Canis lupus familiaris: one gene and its partners. The protein of the gene in region 1 interacts with the protein of each later gene in a biochemical or structural test. Links are inferred from orthologs where the notes say so. Each region holds a gene or a part of one and is shown in the gene's direction. Other genes may lie near its edges. The genes, in order: GAS6, AXL and TYRO3.

Region 1 (4,848 bases):
GGGGCCAGAGCACACAGGCTCCCTCTCACCCAGGGGTGGCACCTGTCTACACCCACCCAGCTGGCTTCCCCCCTCACCCACTTCCCTCTGGCAGAGGCGGGCTGGCCACTGAGCAAAGCAGAAGGCAGCCGCCCTCCTTAGTCTGGGGCCCCTGGGGTCCAGTGCCCTGACCACCCCAGAAAGTCTGCACACTGTGGCTGGCCGGGCTGCAAAAGGGGTCCCCGACTTTACAGGGGGGCTGTCTCTTCCTCCCTCCGCCCCCTGCCCTCCAATACAGACCTGCTGACACCTGCCACTGGCGTGTCCCTGAGAATCCGGGCAGTTCTCTCGTACTACGGGCCTGCCCGGGGCAGAACAGATCTACTGAGGGAGAAGCGGCCTCAGGAGCAAGGCTTGCGCAACAGCCGGTGACAGGGTGAACTCTGAGTCAGACAGGACAGGGGGCCCTTCCCACTTTTGGGAAAACAGCTTCCACTTTTGTCATCATTCATGGCTCCTTCCCACCTGCTGCCTCAACCTGACAACAGCTGTCCTCTCCTCGAGCTGCGGCTGGCACCCAGGCCAGACGTGCACGGCCACGGCCCCAGGGACTTCCGGCCTGCGGGCTATGTCTGGGGCCATGTCTGCATGTGATGCACCCACAGCTGCTGGGAGTTCCCGGAGCCATGGTGTTTGCACGCCCCTGGGCGATGTGCTGTGTGCCGCGGGCACCTCCTGCTTTTGCCTCCTCGGGAGACCCTGAGTGACGAGGGTCTACTTAGCGCTCATTCACCAGGTCTGTGATGTGTGGGAGCTGACAGATCCCCTGCACCTTGGTGCTTGGTGCCTTCCCCCAGAACAAAGGTGTTCTCCTTAGCGTGATGGATTAACAGCAAGCATGGCAGGTGCCCCACCTGCGCGGCCAGGGTTCCTTGTGCTGACACCAGCTGACAGACACCTCCCCTTCTCTTGGCCATCGCCTGTTTCCTTGGGGACCTTGGGACCCCAGACCCAGCCAAGGGAAGCTGTGGGAATGAGGGGCCTTGCCAGTGTGGTGTGGAAGGGCCCAGACTTTCCATCTTGTCTTCCTTGATCAGACTCTGAGATGCTGGGAAGGAGGGGCTGCGGTCGCTCCACTTCTACAGCCCCCCAGCACCCTGGGAATGGGGGCTCTGGCCTTTCTGTCATTGCTCCTTGACTGCAGAGAGGGATCTCCAAGCCTCGCAGGTGGGGCCCTGTCCTAGGAGGAGAAGCAGATGAGGGCCTGGGCGGGGGGCAGAGGCAGGGCCTGTTTGGGGGCCTCGGGCCTCTTGGCCTTGGTGCACAGTGTAGGGTTGTGTCTAGGCTTGTGCCCCATGCCTGGTGCCAGCCCCACACACTGCCTGCCTCCGTTTTCCTGGTCACCGTGCTCTGATGAATGGTCGGACCGCAGCATCTCCAAAGGGCCACGTTTTGGCAGGATGCAGCGTGGAGGTGCTGAGAGGCTGGAGTCAGAGCGGTCCTCTGATAGAGCTCGGCCCTATGCATCACAGGGGTGCTCTCTCCCGTGGGAGGAGAAAGCTGGGTGTCATGGAGCCAGATGGGCACGTGAGGAGGGGCTGGCCTGGGAAGTGCAGTGTGCCAGAACCGCGGAGAACCCTTCCCCCATGCCACTGCCACTGTGGGCCATTCCCTGGTGGGTCTGGGCCCTCCAGCCACCAGCCCCTCCACCGTCACAAGCCCTGCAGGGGCCGTGGCAGCTCCTTACGGGTGGTGTTCAGAGAGCCTGTGCTTACGAGGCATCCTTCTTGGGGTGGCCCGTGTCCTGCAGCCAAGCTGTATGCATAGCACCCACAGCCTCCCCGGGGCAGTCAGGACTGTGGAGCCGGGTTCCTATGCTCCTGGACATGGTTGGCCTGGCTCTTGGACTGAAATTCAGGTTCAGAAGCATCCACACTGAGTCAGTGGACAGAGGGAACCCGCAGCCTTACGCCTGTGTCTCAGGGCCGCGTGCTGTTGCCAGAGCGCCTTCCTACGCTCACTGAGCCACGTTTGAGAGCCTATTTGCTGGCAGGCTGCCCTTGTGATGAGCTCCACCTGAGGCCCCGCAACACGGGTGTCCCGCTGCCGTCTGAGGGATCCATGTCGTCTGGACTAATAATTGCCTGTCCCAGATATTCGTTCTGCCCCTGGAGGAAACAGGATTAAGTGCAGAGGTTTTTGTATTTGTTCTTTGCCAAAGTAGCAGATGGATGAGCCTCAGGATGAGCCTCAACAATTCACCACTAGTGAGCTTGGTTTCCAACGGAGAGATGGGGTGTGTGGCTGGAGGTCATCCCTCAGGAGGTGAATGGAGCCTGGGAGCCTCCACTGGAAGTCCCCATCCTGGGCTCCAGTGCTTGGCCCTGGACGAGCTCAGCCGCATCCAGCAGTCTGAGATCAACCTCCTCAGCCGGGACCCCAGGCAGAAACATCCACCACGCCCGCCGTGCCTGAGCCTGGGGCTGCAGAGTCCAGTGGACGGGAGGAGGGCTTAGTCACCCTGGGAGCTGAGGCCACCCAAGGCTGTGGCTCACGCTGCAGCACCTCCCCTACCGACCAGGAGACAACCCTGGTCAAGGGCCCTGGCTTCTCTTGCAGACGTGGATGAGTGTGCAAATGGAGCTGCCTGCGGGGAGGCGCGCTGCCAGAACCTGCCTGGCTCCTACTCCTGCCTCTGTGATGAGGGCTACGCATTCAGCTCCCAGGAGAAGGCCTGCCGAGGTACCCCTCCACAGCTGCCCGCAGGCCCCGGCACAAACACCTGTGAACACATGTGTGCACACATGCAGCGCCCCACACATGACCACACATTTGCACACACATCACACATGTGTGCATGCCATGCACACATACATCCACAGGTACCTCTTAAAGCAACTAGGTGCCTTCTCCAAACTGCTGCAGACACAGAATTTAGGAGGAACGAGCTCTCAGGCCACACTGCTGTGTTTGGGGACAACTGACGAGCACTCGCTGTGTCCAGGGCATCTTCCTCCCCTTCCTTCCAAGAGGAAGGTGGGGTGGTCCCAGCCTCTGTCTCCCCTGCAGGGTGTCCCTGGGGCCCCTTTAGACCCTCAGGCCAAGCACCTCGTAGATGTGGTTTATGCGCTGAGCTGGTACCGTGCTCCAACCCTCCTTCAGCCTCTACACTAGCTGCTTCCCTTGAGAAACTGCAGAGGGTGTGCAGACATTGGAGACTGCTGACCAGCACAGCTCATGGCCAGGGAGCCAGGGGGGCGTGGGGTGGGCTGGGGAGTGGGTGCCTCCTGAGGCTCGTGCTCTGGAGCTTGTTTTCACAGCAAGCCAACCGCGTGCACGATCAGAGAAGGCATGGGCACTGCACCTGGTGAGGTTTGCCCATCTTCCCTGTGGTGGCAGATGTGGACGAGTGTGCGGAGGGACGCTGTGAGCAGGCCTGCGTCAACTCCCCAGGGGGATACAGCTGCCACTGTGATGGACGTGGAGGCCTCAAGCTGTCCCCAGACATGAACACCTGTGAGGTAAGTGCCCTCGGGGCAGCCGTCCTTCAGGAAGACAGTGCTGGAAGAGGTGTTTTTATGGGAAGGCCCAGTGTCCCCTGGCCGGTGGCAATGTAGGATGGAGGCATGTCTGTCCTGGGCATGAATTCCCTAGGCCTGGTGGCTCCCTACCCCCAACGACCTGGGGGCTACACCCAGAGTACACTCTGCCCTCCCTGTCTGCCCGCTCAGGCTCTGCCACACGTGTGCAGTCGGAGCCTCCTGCTTTTGGCCAGCCTGCCCACCTCTTGGACTCGTACCTGCTGGTCTCTCCGGGCCGTGGCGGTCTGAGTGTAACAGAGTCTCTGGTGTCTGTGTGCCACCTGCTGTGCATCTGGCTGGCGGAGTGGCGGGGGAGGGCCCGATTGCATCCTGACAGGCAGTGTGATGGGGAGGGGCTGAACCAGGTATGCCCCTCCTGACACCCCTTGCTCCCACTCCACAGGATATTTTGCCCTGCGTGCCTTTCAATGTGGCCAAAAGCATGAAGTCCTTGTACCTGGGTCGCATGTTCAGCGGGACACCCGTGATCAGACTGCGCTTCAAAAGGCTGCAGCCCACCAGGTGAGAGGCGGCGGCTCACACAATACAGAGCAGAGTGGACCAGAGCCCGAGGAATGGCTGGCCTGATGCTCCCTGGGCCCACAGACCCCTGGGCCATGCCCCAGGCTGCACCCCAGCGGTCTAGGCAGTCAGCCCGTTCCCTGCCCAGCCACAGCAGCACGGCTCCAACTCTGGGCCTCTGGGCGCCCACCAGTGCTTCTGGCATTCAGGGAAGAATCCCAGGCTGCCTGCACACGGCTGCTCTCTCCCTGCTGGTCTGGGTCCCTGGGGCAGGAGGCCGTGAGCCGCCAGCCCATGCATCACCTGTTTCTTTTTCGTGCTGGCCCTCAGGCTGGTCACCGAATTCGACTTCAGGACCTATGACCCTGAAGGCGTCCTCTTCTTTGCTGGAGGCCATCAGGACAGTACCTGGATCGTGCTGGGCCTGCGGGCTGGCCGGCTGGAACTGCAGCTCCGCTACCATGGTGTCGGCCGTGTCACCAGCAGTGGGCCTGTCATCAACCACGGCACATGGCAGACGGTGAGTGTGGCCACCACTCCAGCCCCAGGCCGGCTGGCATATGGGACTCCCGGGGAAGGGCCCTGGCATTTGCTCACGCGTTTGCACAGTCAGCAGTGAGTGGACACTGCACAGGCCCCTGCCCTGCGAGCCCGCAGGTGATGGGGCAAGAGCTGTGGTCTCAGGGGCTGTTCCACCAGGAGCTGCTGGCTATGTCCTGGTTCTGCTTGTCAGAGCTGCTCTTGGCAGCAGAGTCAGAGCCAGAGG
Region 2 (4,848 bases), on another chromosome or scaffold:
CCCTCGTGCGTTGGCAGGAGCCAAGGGCGCCCCTGCAGGGCACCCTGTTAGGGTACCGGCTGGCCTACCGAGGCCAGGACACCCCCGAGGTGGGTGCTGCTGGCTGGGCTGGGGCGGAATGGCTGGGTGGAGGGAGATGGGGAGGACAGGACACGAGTGCAGTTGGGGTAATATGAGACCACACTACACCTAGGAGGGCACATCCTGGGAAGGGGTCCAGGCAAGGGGTAGGGAATGGGAGTGGCTATTTACAAGTCCTTGTGAAAAACATTTCAGTAGACTTACAAATGTACTATCATGATTTTACAGCAGATAATTGTATAACATCTTGAAGAAGGGGTGACTTTTCCTAATTTGCACAAAGGTGGTCTTGGAGCAAGCAGCACCCTGGGTTGGAGAGGTGGGTGGGAGAGAGAGGGTGGGGGGTTAGGAGGGGATAAAGAGAGGAACCTGGGTGGAAAGATGAGGGTTCAGTCCCTCACTTGCTAGCACTTGACGACGGGCTGTGAATGAGGCAATGGCCCAGTCCCGGTGGAGCTGATGTTGGAGTGGGCATGGGGATGGAGAATGGAGGTGGGGGTGACAGTGGGGATGATGGGTCGGAAGAGGTAGGGGTGAAGGGCTAGGGGGTGGGGAGGGGGCTTTGAGAAAGATAGGGACTTAACGGTGAGGGTGAAGTCTTAAGAGTTAGGGGTGGCGGGGTGGGGGCTTTACCTTGATGCTACATCTGGACGTCCTAGGTGCTCATGGACATAGGGCTAAAGAGAGAGGTGACCCTGGAGCTGCAAGGGGATGGGACGGTGCCCAACCTGACAGTGTGTGTGGCAGCCTACACTGCTGCTGGGGATGGACCCTGGAGCCTCCCTGTGCCCCTGGAGCCCTGGCGCCCAGGTAACTCCAAAGTCCTGCTCAGCCCCCTTCAACTGATTCACGAGGACCCTGTCTTGCCCAGATAGCCCTGACTTGCTCCCTGTACCTTTCAATGTTACCCCAATCTGGGCTCTTTTCCTACCCAAAACCTTCCTGAGAGTCTCACCGGTGTCACACCAGTCTTATCCTCTCTGAGTCCTCCCTCTGTCCTTTCTCCTCACAGGGCAAGGACAACCAATCCACCAGCTGGGTAAGGGCTTCACACCCTCTTGCCTCCCTCCTTTGCCTTCATGCCCAGTGAGGACCCCATCACCACAAACATACCCATAGACATTTCTTTCATGTTTCTCAAACTCATCATTCTAATCTTCTACTTCTCGGGTTTGTGTGGTCCTTGATGTTGTCAGGAATGGCCCCCGTACATTGTAGGTACTCAATGAATGGTGGATGGATGGATGGATGGATGGATGGATGGATGGATGGATAGATAGATAGGTGGATGGATGGGTGGGCAGGCAGATGAGCTATCCCCCTCAAATCCATCCCTCTCAAATATTTCTCCAGCAATTCTCAAACACCCTTTGTACCCTCCTAGCACTATTATAGTTCATCTCTTGTAACTCAACCTACTATTCTTAAGGATTCCTTATGTGCCTTCCTGCATTTCTTTGCATACCCTTTCCACACTAATGCCAGCCTTCTGTCCCATTCATCCTATTATTGTCCTTCGTTCCTCACACATGCCTCCCAAACCCAGTGCACACCCACACTTCTCATTCACAGACTGCACACTTTTTACACACTCGCCGTATATCCCACATTGCAAATACTGGAAAATTTTGGATCCACACTATCCCACACTCTTCAATTCTTCCTGCACACAGGGAGTGATGCTCCTTACACATTACTCCCTCAACACTCGCCAATCCTAACCCGTTCCCACTCTGCACACACCCACACCAAACTCCTGGGACACTCAGCACGTACCTACCCATTTCCATCCCTTACATACCCATTCCCACCCTTTGACACCCCATTTCATCTCCTCCCATGCCCACACTCCTCTCACACCAACGTTACATCCTTACCAAAAAGTTGCTCATGAGGTGTATCTAAAATGCCTTAACTACTCCTCACTCACATACCTCTAACTCCTCCAATACCCATCTGACATTCTGTGCACCCTTCTTTTGCACATGTATTTCACTTCTATCCCTCGCTTAATAGAAGCCCCTCCATCATCAGTGCATGTTCCTCAAGACCATTCCTTGGTCGTTTGTCCATGAGCCTCATACTCCTTGTATACTCCTCGCATGCGCTCCACACACCCATCCTACACTCCACACATCCCCTCCCCTGCTCACACAACTTGTGTGTTTTCCACACCCAAGTCCATCTCCCTGGATAAGTAGATGCACCTACCTACTACATGCCTCATTAGATATTTCCACATCTGTCTCCCTCCAACATCATATCTTTGGGTCCTGGGGAGCAGGATCCAGGGCTTCATCCATGACCTGTGTGCCATACCCCCTGACAGTGAGTGAGCCCCCAGCCCCTGCCTTCTCATGGCCCTGGTGGTATGTATTGCTGGGAGCAGTCGTGGCTGCCGGTTGTGTCCTCATCTTGGCCCTGTTCCTTGTCCACCGGCGGAAGAAGGAGACCCGCTATGGGTGAGTTGGAACTACGTGAGTAGGGAGGCTAACTTGGACTGGGATGGAGAGGCTGGAGTCAGGGAGACCATGAGGAGGCTGGTGCGAGATGAGAGATTACCAAGAGTCAGAATGAGGTCAAGGGTCTGGGTAATAAATGGAAGGCAGAAGGTAGAAGTCCAAGTCATACTCAGCAAATGCTGGAGGAGAGGGCGGGCAGGGCTTGGGGTTAAGGGTGGTGTTCGCTTTCACTGTTGTCCGAGAAAGGGGGTTCCACCTGGTCCTGCCCTGCCCTCACCTCCTGCCTATTCCCCCCAGAGAGGTGTTTGAACCAACAGTGGAGAGGGGTGAGCTGGTGGTTAGGTACCGTGTTCGCAAGTCCTACAGTCGCCGGACCACTGAAGCCACCTGTAAGTGAACCTCATACCTCCCTGCCCTGGTGTGGGGATGACAAGTGTAGAGATTGGGGTCTGCCGGGCTTCTTTCGATGCATGAACCCAGAGTTTCCAAAGACCCCGGAATACTAGGATGTGAGAACCATAGACTAAGAACAACAGAATTGTGAAACCACACAGATCCTTAAAATAACAGGGTCCTAGACAATAAGTTATAGAAAGACCAAACTTTAGGGCCACAGGATCCTAGAACAGTATAATGATGATGACGATAATGATGATGATGATGGCAATGAAGAGGACAAGGATGGTTAGATAATTGTAAAGCCAATAATGACAGCCAGCCCTAGCACTTCCTATGTGACAGGTGCTGTTCTAAGTGTCCCACACGTCATTTAATTGAATTCTCACGACAACCCAATGAAGTAGGTAAGTCACTCTCCACTTTCACAGATGGGGAAGCTGGGTACAGAGTGGTTAGTAACTTCCTCAAGGCCACACAGCTTTTAAGTTAGACAGCTGGGCTTTGAACCCTGGTCATTTTGCTCTGAAGTTCATCCTCTTAACTACCTCTTGGAATTCTAGAATGTTAGAGAGTGGAATGGATTTTGGCCGAAACAATCATAGGCTCAATATCATAGACCCTTAAGATCTGGAAAACCATATGCTCTAAGAGCTCTAGACTCTCTGTAGACTGTGGAATTTTGAAGGGTCCCAGCTAAGGAAGGACCTCAGAGTGCACCTTGTCTAATCTCTTCATCTTTCCAGCTGGGAGAAACTTAAATCCAGAAAGGAAAGAGACAGAGTGATGTCTCTTCCCAGGACACAGTGAGAAGGCTGCCGGGGCCCCAGGGAGATATTGGAAGGGGCTGGGAAAGACATTTATTTAGGAGAAGCAAGAATAAGAAGCAAGGAGGTCATGGCGCTCTAGTGGGGTGACATGCAGCAGCAGTTCTCAGAGTGTGATCCAGGTCCCTGAGGGTCCCTGAGACCTTTGCAGGGGGTCCATGAGGTCAAAACTATTTTCATAATAATTCCAAGATGTTATATGCCCTTTAACACTCTCGTTCTCTCACATGTGTTCCGTGGAGTTTTTTTTAGAAGTTCTCTGATGTGTGATGGTTGACACTCTATTGGTTGACAAATGTGTGTTGGTTTATTCTTGTGTTTGAAAAATCTATCCATTTTAATTTTGAATACAGTAAGTATTGATCCATATAATCCCAGTGAATGAAAGCTCTATGTAGTCCTCAGTAATTTTTATTTATTTATTTATTTATTTATTTATTTATTTATTTATTTATTTATTTATGAGACACAGAGAGAAAGAGAGAGAGAGAGAGGCAGAGACACAGGCAGAGGAAGAAGCAGGCTCCATGCAGGGAGCCCGACGCGGGACTCGATCCTGGGTCTCCAGGATCACGTCCAGGGCGGAAGGCGGTGATAAACCGCTGAGCCACCCGGGCTGCCCAGTCCTCAGTAATTTTAAGAATGAGAACAGGTCCTGAGGCCAATAAGTTTGAGAACTGTTGCCATATAGCAATGAAAATAAATTGCAATTACACACAACTAACTACATGACAGCTGTCTCATAGACACTGTGTTGAATGAAAGAAGCCAGACATGAAAGAAAACATAGTACGTGATTCCATGTTTATGATTATATTCCCAAACAGAAATGGCCAATCTATGAGAAGAGAAGTCAGGAAGGTGGCCACTCTTAAGAGGGCAGGTCATGGTCTGTTCTTGACTTGGGTGCTAGTTATATTATTGTGTTTGCTTTGTAGAAATCCACTGAGCTGGGGTGCCTGGGTGGCTTTGTCACTTGAGCATCCAGCTCTTGGTTTCAGCTCAGACCATGATCTCATGGTTCATGAGATGGAGCCCCATGTGGGCCTCCCCACTCAGCTGGGAGTCTGCTTAAAGATTCT
Region 3 (5,418 bases), on another chromosome or scaffold:
CTCTCTCTCTCTCTGTGTCTCTCATGAGTAAATAAATAAAATCTTAAAAGAAAAAAAAAGCAGGAATATAGAAAGCAGAGACTCCAGGAAAGTGTGCTGCCCCAGGGCAAAAGTGATGTGCCTGAGGCCTGCCCCGAAATAGGAAGTTCGTCTAGGCTCAGAGTGCAGAATGCAGTGGAATCCATGACATGTCCAAGAAGCCCATCTTGACTGGTGGCAAAGGTGGTCCTTGGGCTGGGCTTCCCTGTCAGAGTTCAGGAAATGAGGGAAGAAGAAGAAGTGGAAGTTTGGGTTTGGGCTTTGGGTTCAACATCCTCTAGGAGAGGTCTTTCCAATGTCGACTAGAGTCATAGGAGGCTTTCTTTCACTGGAAACTTGAAGTCCCCTGGAGAGAGGAGAGGTGTGGGAGAGGGCCTCCAGGAGTGCAGAGCTGCAGCAGCCATGCTGCCGCAGTAGCGCTGCCCTGGCGAACCTGGCTTCAGCCCCAGATTGTTGTCTGCCTGCCCCGATCCGACTCAGCCCAAACTCAGAAGCTGTGGCTTCCGGAACAGAGCAAATCTTTTCCTTTAAAAAAGGGTCCTATAGCCCACCCACAGTACCCAAGAAAACTGGCAGAGCGCCCAGCTAAGCAGAGACCTCAGGTCCCTGCCTTCCAAGTCTGTCCTTTTGGAGTCTCTCCCTGTGTTGCCACCTGAGGGCGCCCGGAGCTGGGTCTGAGGGTGCCACCAGCACTGCTGTTGTTGTTATCATTAGTATAATTAATAAGCAAGCACTGATGGGGCCAAGTGGAGGAAGAGGCAGGCCCCTGCTGCTCGGGAGAATCCCTGGAAAGATCCAGTGAGGCTTCAGGAAACAGGGGGCTGAGTAGCCTGTTCCTCTTCCCTATGCAGGACTTCTAGGAAGGGCCCTCTGGAGTGGGCTCCAGGGGACAGGTAGCAGCAGAGGCCCAGGGAGAAAGCTTGGTAGGCTGCGTTTGGAACCAGCTCTGCATCTGCCTGACAGGATGTCTTTGGGCACAGCCACCCTCATGATTACTGGTTGTGGGGCAGGCCAAGCTCTGAGGCAATTATTCATTAATTTAACAGGCATCTGTCTGTTTATTTATGGAATGCCTACTGTGTGCAAGGTGGTCCACTAATAATAGCTAAATGTTTTATTGGATACTGTGAGGACACAGCCAACTTTCACACCATGTCCTAGGGGATAGGGGCAGGGAGGGTAGAAGCAGAGGAAGCAGCTAGTAAGAATGACAGCCCCAAAAGACATGGGCAATGGGGCTTTGGCCTATCAGTGGGGATGTCAGATATAAAACCTGAGGACTAGCAAAAAGATCTTGGAACCCACCCCCCCACCCCCCGCCAAGATCCTGGAGATCTTGGGTGGGAAATGGAGCAGGAATATGGGAAATTTCGGGGAAAGGCTCAAGAAAGAGGCAGGAAGGGGTGTTAGTAGGTCCTGTGTGGGGAGCCTTGAGTCACGATTTCGGGGGCCCTGATTGGTGGGGAATTTAGGGGATTGAGATGCTTTCTGTCCTGAGACGGGGGACGGGATTGTGGCATCACACGCTGGACGAAAGTTGGGGTGCGGTAGAGGCTCCAGCGAGGTTGGACGGCAGGACCCGGAGTGCTGGGTTTGAAAGGATGCTGGAGTGTGTTTAGGGGATGGAGGGGCGTGGCTGGGTGCGCCCCGGGCCCCGGCCGATCCTCGGGCCCGGAGGAAGCCCGCCGGGGGTGCCGCGGCGCCGGGGGGGGGGGAGGGGGGAGGCCCGCGGGCGGGGGCCGGCGGGGCCCGCGGCGGGGTAGGCGCTCGGAGCGCGCGGCCCGAGGCTCCGCGGGGGGGCGGTACGAGCTCAGGCTTGCGGGCGGGCGGGCTGGGGAGGAGGCGGCGGCTCCGAGAACATGAATCAGCGGCGGCGGCGACGGCGGCGACGGCTGTGGAAGGAGCGCGGTGGCCCAGCGGCGGCCCCGGGGACCGCGCGCTGTTGACGGCCGCCGCCGCGACTCGCAGCGGGCGCGGGTCTCGGAGGCGCGGGCCCCAGCACCGCCCCCGGCCGGCCCCCGCCCCTCCCGCGGCCCTCCTCCTCCGGCCCTCCTCCTCCTCCTCCGGCCCTCCCCCTCCCCCTCCCCCTCCCCCTCCTCCCTCCTCCCTCTCGCTCGCGGGCCGGGCCCGGCATGGTGCGGCGTCGCCGCCGATGGCGCTGAGGCGGAGCATGGGGCGGCCCGGGCTCCCGCCGCTGCCGCTGCCGCTGCCGCTGCTGCCGCCGCCGCCGCCGCCGCCGCCGCCGCTGCTGCTGCTGGCGGGTCTGGCAGCTGTGCTGCTCGCGGAGCCCGCGGCCGCAGGTAGGGGTTGGTCGGGAGGCGGCGGAACCCGGGGGCTGCGGAGGGGCGCGGCCGGGTGGGCGCCCAGGGACCGCAGCGGAGCGAGCCCCGGGCCCGGGCGGCCCGGAGACTTGGGTGGGGGGACCCACGCTGCAAGGCCGAGGCTGGGGGCGGGGGGCGGGGGGCGGGGGCGCCGCGCCGTGTCCGCTGCGGGTCCCCCGGCAGGGGCCCCACCCCCAACTTTCTCGCGTCCGGGGCTCTTCTGGCGGGGTGGAAGGCAAAGGAGTGGGGCCGTGGGCTGAGTGGTCAGAGGGGGCTGTTCCGAACTGGATTTTCCCGCCTCGACGTATCTAGTTGTTTGCTCTCCCCTCGCAGTCCTGGGGACCCCATTCAGCCCGCCCTACACATGAAAGTCCCGCTCGGAAACCACAGGGGCTGGACTGAGCCCCAAGAGGCATACCTACACCATTTAGGTACAAGGGCTGTGAGGGTGCCCAGGCACAGAAAACATCTGGACAGACTCTAGTTCCTGTACCCACTCAGAGCTTCCTGAAACGGAGGACGTTGGAGAGGATGGGTTGGAGCGAGGTTGCTGGTCTTTGTGGGGGTCAGCCTTGTGTTCCCACATGGCCCCTGAGGCATTTGCCCATTGTAGGAGTGCTCCTCGCAGCACCCTGCATCTCAAGTTCACACTACAACCCTCTGGGACTGTTGGGTGTGTATGGGGTGTGAGGTTATCCCTCTGTGCCCTGTGACACAGGCTAAAAGCAGCAGCCACAGAGCTGGCACCTTGTTTTGAGACTGTACTCCCTGCCATATGAGATTCTTAGGGAAGGAAAAGAGTGACAAGTATTTACAAGCTGAAAAGTGTGTATCTCAGGATCAGAGAGAGCCCAGGAATTCGCCTAGAGTCACACAGCAAAGGGCAGGGAGAAGCAGGACTGGATTCAACTATTTGGATAGTTCACCTGCCCCTCTGCTTAAAAACATGCCAGGAGACTAGGAGGTGTGTGTGTGTGTGTGTGTGTGTGTGTGTGTGTGTGTGTCCATGCAGAGGATAGTGTTCTGCAAGGTGGCTCCTGCTGGTGTGACAGTAGCTCAGGGGTCTTGGGCTTCTGTTCAGGGCCCCTCTGCTCTCTTCTACCTCCTACCTCCCTAGCACCCGCCCCTGCACACATTCAGGTATTAATAGAGCGGGTGGCTGCCAGGAAGGCTGCCATGTGTTTGATCTGACGTGGTTCTGCAGCCATATGTTCTCCACTTCAGGGGAGCACCCCCTCCTTCTCTTCCTCAGCCTTGTTTAATTTGCCAGGGTGGGGTGCAAGGGGGTGCCAGCAGCAGCTTGAAGTCTGGCCGGACACCTAGAGAGGCAGGGAGCTGGCCGCCTGTTGCACTCCATGGGTGCAGCAGTCATTCTCAAGGCAGTACCTGCCCCAGGTGGATGAGAGGGCCCCATCTTTTTAGCTTGGCCTGCCTTCCTTTTGATGGTTGGGCTTGAACTTCACATCACCCAGTCGGGAGGCATGGGGAAGAGGGCACTTTCATAGAGCTGGGGGAAGCTTGGCAGTGGCAGAAATGGTGCCTGGATAGCTTGTCTTTTTTCGTCCCCCAGCCAAGGCCCCGGCCACCTTCTCTCCCTCCCACGTCCAACCTCTGCTTTCTTGACCATTAGTTGAGAATAAGCTCTGCGAACCAGACACTAGGTTCTGGAAGAGGAGGGGAGATATTTCCAGAGGCAGGGTCCCTGTCAAGCAGGCTGACACCTTCTCCTTCCCACCTCTCAGGCCTGAAGCTCATGGGAGCCCCAGTGAAGCTGACTGTGTCTCAGGGGCAGCCGGTGAAGCTCAACTGCAGTGTGGAGGGAATGGAGGAGCCTGAGATACAGTGGGTGAAGGACGGGGCTGTGGTCCAGAGTGTGGATCAGGTGTACATCCCAGTCAGTGAGCAGCACTGGATTGGCTTCCTCAGGTGCAGGGCCAGGGGGGAGGGTGTGGCATGCCAGCCTGGGGACACGTTGTGCTTTCTCCTTGGGGCTTGGGAGCTGGGGGCAATGCCGATGCCCAGAAGTCTGGGGTTTTTTATTTGGCAACCTATGGAAACTTCCAGAAGCGGGGGTAGGCTGAACCCACTGAGTCGGCCCAGCACAGCGCGCCCCCTGCCAACTCTGGGAGGCGAGCCTGGTATCCTGTTTCTACAGCCTGAAGTCAGTGGAGCGCTCTGATGCAGGCCGGTACTGGTGCCAGGTGGAGGATGGGGGTGAAACGGAGACCTCCCAACCAGTATGGCTCACAGTAGAAGGTGAGGAAGCAGAGATACAGGTGGGCATGTTGGCCTGGAGCAGGTGCTGTCTGCTAGTGACCACACCTCTGCAGAAGAAAAAGCTCAGTGGAAGCTGGGCTGCCCCATTGCCCTCTGGGCCCTGATTGCACCAGGCTCCAGGCCTACCCCAGACATCAGGAGACCTTACTCATTGGAGTCTGGGTATTTCACAGCCAAGGGGACAATAAGAACCCAGAACCCATGGTGCAGTCCATTCCAGTTGTTTGATCAGCAAACCTCAAGCACCCATCTGGGGCTGGACCCAGTCCTGCCAAGTGGCCAGGCCAGGAGGGGGAGGGATGGGGGAGGGGAGGAAGGCTCCGCAGCTGCGGGAGCTCAGAGCTGTTCAACCCAGGAAAACAAAGTGACTAAGAAAGTAACAAAGGGGCCTGAACGGGGATCTGGGGCTTGCCAGCAGAACTCTGCTAAAGCTTCCGCCCACTCCCCCTCCCTTTGTGACCCTCCCCCCAGCTCCCTACCCTCCCTCCTCCCCTGCTCTGAGAAGGGCTGTCTCGGAAGAGAGAATCTACTATGCCCAAGGGGACAGCATAAAGGATATTCCTAAGGTGCCCAAAGAAGAGAAGCTTCCCCCTCAAGCTAGATGCCTGTTCTGCAGTTGACTCAATCATAAGGGCTTTAGGACCTCTGCACGGAGGGCTGCAAATGGTAGCAAACTTGTGGTTTGGGTAGTTGGAAACAGAGGTGGCAAGGCTCATTCCCCACCTCCCTTTCTTCCCAGGTGTGCCATTTTTCACTGTGGAGCCAAAAGATCTGGCAGTGC

What was found.
Region 2: the proteins of GAS6 (region 1) and AXL form a complex in vitro, tested with the Homo sapiens proteins (2 studies listed by BioGRID and IntAct, with this or other methods). The link is inferred for Canis lupus familiaris from reciprocal best matches to the Homo sapiens genes GAS6 and AXL.
Region 3: the proteins of GAS6 (region 1) and TYRO3 form a complex in vitro, tested with the Homo sapiens proteins (2 studies listed by BioGRID). The link is inferred for Canis lupus familiaris from reciprocal best matches to the Homo sapiens genes GAS6 and TYRO3.

The regions. Positions count from the first base shown.
Region 1 is NC_049243.1:61,139,653-61,144,500, reverse strand, and holds part of GAS6 (growth arrest-specific protein 6), read left to right. Parts: intron 1-279; exon of another isoform or gene 280-427; intron 428-2,598; coding exon 2,599-2,721; intron 2,722-3,378; coding exon 3,379-3,500; intron 3,501-3,963; coding exon 3,964-4,082; intron 4,083-4,412; coding exon 4,413-4,602; intron 4,603-4,848. UniProt on the Homo sapiens protein: Ligand for tyrosine-protein kinase receptors AXL, TYRO3 and MER whose signaling is implicated in cell growth and survival, cell adhesion and cell migration.
Region 2 is NC_049222.1:113,493,731-113,498,578, reverse strand, and holds part of AXL (tyrosine-protein kinase receptor UFO), read left to right. Parts: coding exon 1-89; intron 90-740; coding exon 741-891; intron 892-1,093; coding exon 1,094-1,120; intron 1,121-2,410; coding exon 2,411-2,543; intron 2,544-2,840; coding exon 2,841-2,932; intron 2,933-4,848. UniProt on the Homo sapiens protein: Receptor tyrosine kinase that transduces signals from the extracellular matrix into the cytoplasm by binding growth factor GAS6 and which is thus regulating many physiological processes including cell survival, cell proliferation, migration and differentiation.
Region 3 is NC_049251.1:8,874,944-8,880,361, forward strand, and holds the start of TYRO3 (tyrosine-protein kinase receptor TYRO3), read left to right. Parts: upstream 1-2,176; 5' UTR 2,177-2,191; coding exon 2,192-2,339; intron 2,340-4,102; coding exon 4,103-4,286; intron 4,287-4,515; coding exon 4,516-4,616; intron 4,617-5,376; coding exon 5,377-5,418. UniProt on the Homo sapiens protein: Receptor tyrosine kinase that transduces signals from the extracellular matrix into the cytoplasm by binding to several ligands including TULP1 or GAS6. Regulates many physiological processes including cell survival, migration and differentiation.